Linked DNA regions of Nothobranchius furzeri. The protein of the gene in region 1 interacts with the protein of each later gene in a pairwise test. Links are inferred from orthologs where the notes say so. Each region holds a gene or a part of one and is shown in the gene's direction. Other genes may lie near its edges.

Evidence for each region. The genes of interacting proteins can lie anywhere in the genome.
Region 2: the proteins of ccdc172 (region 1) and hddc3 interact in binary tests that used the Homo sapiens proteins (3 or more experiments, as listed by UniProt). The two-hybrid records come from large-scale screens. The link is inferred for Nothobranchius furzeri from reciprocal best matches to the Homo sapiens genes CCDC172 and HDDC3.

What each region holds. Positions count from the first base shown.
Region 1 is NC_091752.1:42,775,357-42,778,870, reverse strand, and holds part of ccdc172 (coiled-coil domain-containing protein 172), read left to right. Parts: intron 1-3,361; coding exon 3,362-3,514.
Region 2 is NC_091749.1:30,000,073-30,004,166, forward strand, and holds the start of hddc3 (guanosine-3',5'-bis(diphosphate) 3'-pyrophosphohydrolase MESH1), read left to right. Parts: upstream 1-1,283; 5' UTR 1,284-1,361; coding exon 1,362-1,473; intron 1,474-2,681; coding exon 2,682-2,737; intron 2,738-2,811; coding exon 2,812-3,052; intron 3,053-4,094. Other genes in the region: vps33b (vacuolar protein sorting-associated protein 33B), read right to left, coding at 1-17, 406-501. UniProt on the Homo sapiens protein: ppGpp hydrolyzing enzyme involved in starvation response.

The sequences.
Region 1 (3,514 bases):
CAATAGTCAACAAATCTTCAGTTATTTGGGCGATTAGCCGACTAATCGTGTCATGCATAAGTATAGCTTAATGCAGCAGGACACAGCTGCTCTAGCATACCCATCATTAGCTTCTAGTTTGAAGTGTGATCTGTTACGTGGGTCTCAATCTGTCACCAACATATTCAAAATGGCCTCGGTCAGAAGGTTTGGTTTGTAACAAACTCATCCACTGAAGAGGAGCGGGTTTTTAACATTGTAGCAGGATGCAATAAACCATTAGTGTTTGTCACCTCAGAGCAAATACGTGACCCAGGTGTGCTAAAGGTAATGAAATTGCAATCACTACTATTGTTGCTACTGCCATAAACACAAGTACCTCCCAGCTAACGAGATGTAATTAGCTTACAGAGGCGACCGCCCCGCTTCATTCTCCGCCACGACGGGCTTCCTTTTAACGTGTTAATGCATCACTGTTACACTCCCGTGAAAGGAGAGTTCTACTTCGCAGCTTTTGCACTCTACGTGCTTCTCTTTTGTCTTTGTAAAATTCTTCCAAACATTTGAGCTGCGTTTTCGGCTCGCCTGGATGGTCACTACTGCACGTGTGCCCGAAGCAGAGCGGTAGAAAGCAGTAGTGGTGCCGCAGCAGGCAGATTAAAAATTAAACAACACTTGTAGTAAATTATGTTGACTATTGAATTTGTTGGTGACTATTTTGTTTGTCGACGTCATCGTGGCAAATCGACTAATAGTGACAGCACTAATTTCATGTCATGATACTAAATTGATATTTAAAACCAGCGTATTGATTTTTTTTGTTGGATATTTACATGCTAACATACATAGTAGTTAGGGCTGCACAGTATATCGCAAATATATCGTTATCACGATATTAGCATTTGCAATATGCATAGTGCATTGAACAGATAAATATTGCATTAAATGGTCAGCTCAAATGGTTGATACACATAATGCATTCTGTCAAACTGAAGTATAATGTTTTTTTAACAAATCAAATAGAGCTCTTCATCCTTTTGGCCAATTGGGTGGGTCCTCATAGGTTAGATGCCCGGCCCCGAGGCAGACAGTACTTAATTTTGATGGTTAGCAAACACCTTAGTTAGCTTTGTTCTTCTCTTTCTGCTGATTCTGCTTTACCCGGGATCCACTGATTGCCTTTTCTTGTTCATTTTCTTTTTCCCTTTCCTCACATCTTTTGCTGTTCTTAGTCTTATGATTTTTTTGTTGCCATTTTAAAAATGTCTTTGTTTTTGATTATTTTTGTTCCTGAGTAGTTTTTATTTATCGCAAGTAATATCGTTATCGCAATATTAATCACTGTTATCGCATATTGCAGGCTTTCCTAATATCGTGCAGCCCTAATAGTTCTTTTGTGTGGTGCAGTTCAAACTCCAACTGCTAGGTGGCAGCAGGTTTTGCTGCCTTTGTTCTGAGGGAACAGTGAGCTCTTGCGCCAAGATTGGATGGCCCAGTCCCAATCACAGATATCATATATGCCCCGTGGACTCACTGCCGATTGGAGCAGCCACAGTTGCCGGCCGCCATCTTTGATGAGTTTCTATTCACCCCCAGTGCATGTATTTCTACTGAGGAAGGTGCCTACCCAACTAATCAGACACATGGTATGGCATGATAATTAAAATACAAATATAATTAACCAAAATTCATTAAAATATAAAATCCCTTCTGCTAGGCTAGAAAGGTCAATAATAAGCCCATGCGATCTGTTTTCAATAGTAAGCTGGTTGTTGCAATCACAGGCTGCAAATACACGGGCATAGATTCCCACTCTGCACTGCTTTTGGGGCGGGAGGACACCCTAACCCTAACACTCTTTTATGCTTTCCAGCACCCAAAGGGGCATCTATGTATTCATGTCTATGGTCCCAATACCTACACTGCAGCCACCGCAACGGTCCTCTGTGACGTATACTTGGTGGAAGTGCACATAACACTCTGAGTGCGTAGTGAATAAGTACAGAACTGGAACAGTGAGCATTGTGTCTTCGTAACCGGGGAAGCCGGTGTTTTTTTTTTGTGTGTGTTTTGCTGCTTGACATGAACTGAATGACAACAAGTGATTCAATTACAGGCATACCATGTATGAAAACACACAGCTGCACTGTTAAAAATATTGTTACAGACATGTGATGTTTCTTTCCAACAGAGAAACCTTATAATGTTATATTTGTTATTTAGATCAGGGATTCCCAAAGTGTGGTGCGCGCGAGCTGCCGCTAGGGGCTGCGCGAGGTGAAAAGTGTAATGGCTGCGGAGCTCAGAGAAGTCTGTCAAAAGTCACCATTAGCGTAGCCAGAAACTCATTTGTGGGTGGGCCTAAGAAAAAGTAAGTGGGCCCAATAAATGTAATTGAAAACAAGTATATTTTGCTTGTGTGTGTGTGTGTGTGTGTGTGTGTGTGTGTCCTCCGCACATGCCCTAGCTCAGGGGTCGGCAACCCGCGGCTCTGGAGCTGCATGCGGCTCTTCCATCCATCTGATGCGGCTCTCTGTGCTTGTATCTTTACTGTGGGAAATGGGTAATAATGTCTCTTTGATGGGAACAGGTTGCCGACCCCTGGTTTAGCATGACGTCTGATATATATATATATATATATATATATATATATATATATATATATAGCCATGCCCTGATGTGGGGCTGGGGGGTGTGTCAACATGGTCGGGACATAGAAGGGGATGTGCATCTAAATAAGTTTGGGAACCACTGATTTAGATAATTATAATAGAAGATTCATATTTTTGGAAAGGGCATTTGAGCCATTTCTCCATCATCTTCTCAAAATTCCCACGCTGAAGTCTGCACTGATGCAGGCTTCAATGAAGTATGGATCAAGGACTCGCATCCCTGGACATAACTCGCAGTTGAGGGGTGCAAGGCTGGATGCATGAGTATTGGGACAGGGCCTTTGTGTCTTTAAAGCATCTGGTCCGAGTTTTCTACTTAAAGCCCGTTTTAACATTGCAAGTACTGTCCGGCTTTTAGAATCATGATGTATCGTATTGCCTTCCATGTATCGTGGTCAATATCGTATTGCCAGATTCTTGCCCCCCCCCCCCCCCCCCCCCCCCCCCCCCCCAAAGATGCAAAGATTTCCCAGGATAGTTTTACCATGGCAGGCCAACTGGACTTTTTCCTAATAAAAATTATTGTACCACCCAAAGTCAGCGTTGATTTGCATTTCTCTAACTCTACAGTGGCGTGCGCCATCAAAAGAATTCTAATGGTCTTTGGAGAATAGATTTAGCTCTTCTAGCTCTACAGTGATATTACCATAAGTTACTGGTAGTATTTATATGTGGAAAACTACAGAACAGTTTTCCTCTTTTTACACCAGGATAAGATAAGGAAAACGTCTAAAGAAGAGGAGGAAATGTTTCGTCAAGAGATCTCAAGGTTCAACAGTGATTTCAGTCTTCAGAGAAGCAGAGCACCAGGGCCCGAGAACCAGCTTGAGTCTGACCTCCTGAGGCTGGATCAGGAGGTGGAA
Region 2 (4,094 bases), on another chromosome or scaffold:
TCTTTCTTCCCTGGCAGCTGTGTGATGAAATAAGACACATGCCATAACAACAATCTGTTCTACACAAAACTAGAAAAACTTGTCAACAGAAAGTTCATCGCCTGATTCAATTATTTATAATACCAGAATTGCACATAACTTGATGGTAAGATCACAAAATTCTCTGACGCTATTGTTGGGATGTGGTCAGAGGTGTACCACCTTCAATGACTGTGACAGCTGTTACGTCAGCCCTATAAATCAGTCATTACACAGTTGTACTGATTTTTCCACTATAATAACAGACTGGAGTGCTTGTGAAAAAGGTTTCTGGTGTTTTTCTTGTCTAGCGTTTGTCTAAACCTGATGCTTTGTGGCAAACAGCTGATCTAAGCTAGGTACAGGTATATGCGCGTGTTTTCCTACCTGTTCCAATAGGTAGATGAGCTGATCTCTGACCAATCTCTTTAGCAGAGAGAAGTCTGGGAACTCCGGGGAGTCTCTCCTTGCACTGTGAGCCATTCTCAACCACAACAGGACACGTCATTCAGTCACTGGTGGCACAGAAATAAATACAGTTATAATGCAACAAAGATACGTCCCCAAATTTAAAAAAACCATAAAGCGTGACGATGAGTGTTCCGTTCTCTCCACTACCAGAGTTAGCTTGTAGGCTAAAAACACACAAATCATCTTTGCCTGCACATTGTAAACGAACAGCAAAATGCTGACGTTTGTATGAAATAATTCTGCACAAACTATTACATCATATTAATTTGACTAAAGCTGCATTTTTCTGAGTAAACAGATTAATATTATGTTTTTCTGTCGAAGCCTACCTGCTTCCGTAGCATAATAGTTCGTGCGATCAACTGTTTCCCACCGGACACAATAGAGTGAAGCAACACGCCCTTATCACTGACTTCAAACTTCAATTTATATGTCGATGCTTTTTAAACCCAAACCATCAACAAATCCAGCCTAAACAAGTTAATATTCTTCAACTGCATCTTAGTATTCTGAGGAATTAGCTTAACTCCCACAAAATAATTAACTGTTTTGGTATCGTTTCATCAACAGGAGGAGTCATCATAGCAATCCGGAATGGAAAAAAAAAACTCCCTTAAATCAAGTATTCTTCATTCCGGACTCTTAGTCAAATTCACAGAAGTAGAAAAAACATTGTACAGATAAGATTATTATTGTTATTATTAGCTATTTTCAAGTTTTGGTTTTCAAAGACCCAAAAGTAAAATAAATTTTAGTGGGCGGAGCAGATTGTAAAACACGGAAATGACGTAACACCGATCTGAAACACCGCCGTGCTTGCTTCCCAAACACGTTTATGCAACCTCCCTTAATTTGATCAAACAGAACTGAACATGGATTCAGACGCAGCTTTGTTGTTGGAGGCTGCTGATTTTGCTGCGTTTAAACATCGCGATCAGAGACGCAAAGATACAAACTCAACCCCCTACATTAACCATCCCATCGGTAAGGAGAAAGCTCTGTGTGTGTGTGTGTGTGTGTGTGTGTGTGTGTGTGTGTGTGTGTGTGTGTGTGTGTGTGTGTGTGTGTGTGTGTGTGTGTGTGTGTGTGTGAATTGTAGATTTCATTTCATTACATTATTACGAACTAAGAGGGGAAATATTCCACATATAGCCCCACTAAGTTTTTTTAAACCAGTCGCTGCTGGTTTTAGTAAGGGTTCTACACCAAATGTTATAAATGAGGCACCTGGTGTCTAATTCCAGCACTCATGAGTGAGAGGACGACACATTGGACAGGTCTCCCGTCCATCACAGGGAAACACAGACAAATCATAAAAATAATGCACGTTTGTGTAGCATTTATTAGTCAGGGTCTTCAAAGCACATTACAGTCCAGTCATTCACGCTGATGGTGATACATGTAGCCATGGCTGCTCTGGAGATGGTAAGTGGTCTGTATTTGTATAGTGCATTCTTAGGATTCAACAACCCCCCAAGGCACTTCACAACACAATCAGTCATTCACCCATTCACACACACCATGGTGGGGGATGAGCTGCAATGTAGCCACAGCTGCCCTGGGGCGTACTGACAGAGGCGAGGCCCTCCGATTACAGGCGCCACCGGTCCCTCCGTCCACCACCAGCAGGCGAGGAGGGTAAAATGTGTTGCCCAAGGACACAGTGACTGAACCAAATGGAGCCTGATGGTTCAGACCTGCAACCCACCGATTACAAGGCAAACTCCTAACCCTTACTAGTCGACTAACTAACCACCAGTCACACACTCACACACTTAGGGATAATTTACACTCTAAATTTTAGAGTGTTCAGTTAATACTATAATACTATACTATAATAATATTCTAAGATGACTATGCAGGATTATTTCATCCTAAGTAGTAGAAGAGTGGATCAGGGAGCCCGAGGCATTATCCTAGCACATGGATCAGTCACCGGACTTTTACCCCTTTGAGAATCTTTGGGATGTGCTGATGAAGGTTTTGTGTTGTGGTCTGACTCATCGATACAAGATCGTTACAAAACATTAATGCTACTGGGCATAAATCAATCCATATCATGTGTGACTTATTTTGTTGGGTACTACTTTTTGTCCAGTAGTCCATGTCATTGGCAATTATTATTAAATGAAATCCCAGCTTTGTGGATCAGCGGTGTTTATTAGTTCTTTCTGATGTCTTTGTCATTTAAGGAGTAGCGAGAATCCTCAGCCACGAAGGAGGAGTCACAGACATCAAGGTTTTACAGGTGTGTGGTGACTGTTACACACTCGGGATCAGTCTCCTGACACGCTGAGCTTTTTGTGCTGTCTGTCTCTGCAGGCTGCTTTGCTTCATGACACAGTGGAGGACACCGACACCACCCTTGAAGAACTTGAAGCAAAATTCGGGGAGGCCGTGGCTGGCATTGTCCGAGAAGTGACTGATGACAAAAGTCTACCGAAGCAGGAGAGGAAGCGTCTGCAGGTGGAGCACGCACCTCACTGCAGCCCACAAGCCAAGCTGGTGAAACTGGCGGATAAACTGTACAACCTCAGGGACCTGAACCGCTGCACGCCTGTGGGTCAGTACCTCGCTGTCCTATCAACACTTACAGACTGAAGCTAACGCTGTCCAGGTTGTCTCTTGTGTAGGAAACGGCAGACAGCAGTGTCTGTAAATGATGTTTTTCTACAAGGATGCAGAAAAGATTTGCACACACCCCATAAGTATGGAAGTTTTCTGGAATAAAACCAAACTTGAATTTGTGAAACAGCTTTTAAAACTTTTATTTAGAACACAGCAGATGTTTTATTTCACAGTTTTAACTCCTCAACCTTTTCGAGTTTAAAAAATCTGAGCAAATCAAAACTTAGATGCTGAAACACTAAAAACTGTTGGATATTACCCCTTCATCATCCAACTTTTTGCTGAATGCATGCAATGTAGCTTTGCACAGTAAGTAAATAAATATAAATCTCTGTGATTTTGAGTAGGTTTAAGATTTCTTCACCCGAGCAGTTAGAGTGCGTTACTGCCCTTATCCTTGTAATGCACTGTTTCTTGTTTAGCCACAGCTGTTTGCAGACCAGATGTAAATAGAAAAACTGCAGTTTCCTTTAGAGATTTTTTTGCTGATAATTTAGCTTATATGGGTTTGGTGGAATATCTTTTAAACTAAATTTGGACACCTAAACATGTTAATTTGTAGAAAGATTAGTGCTGGGAGTACTTCAAATTTTGCTGACTTTCAGAAAACTTACTAACTTACTGGTGTGCTGGAGCCACCATCAGGGATATGAAGAGACTGCAGTGTGTTGTACTCTCTGCTGAGAAGGTCATTGGCTGCAAACTCCTCTCTATACAGGACCTGTACTCCTTCAGGACATTGAGGCATACAGGTTGGATCACAGCTGACCCGTGTCACCCTGGACACAGTCTTTTTTGGGCCATTCCCATCTGTACCGGGTCGGCCCAGGCCGGGTAGCCCCAGTCGGCCCCAGCCTGGCCCGGTTGATTCCACACATCCTTGTCTTAAGCCCATGTGGGCTGATTCTACCCACCAATCAGAGGCTTGCTCTAATGGAAGGTGTGAATTTGCTGTCAGCAGTGGGTGTGTTGGCCTG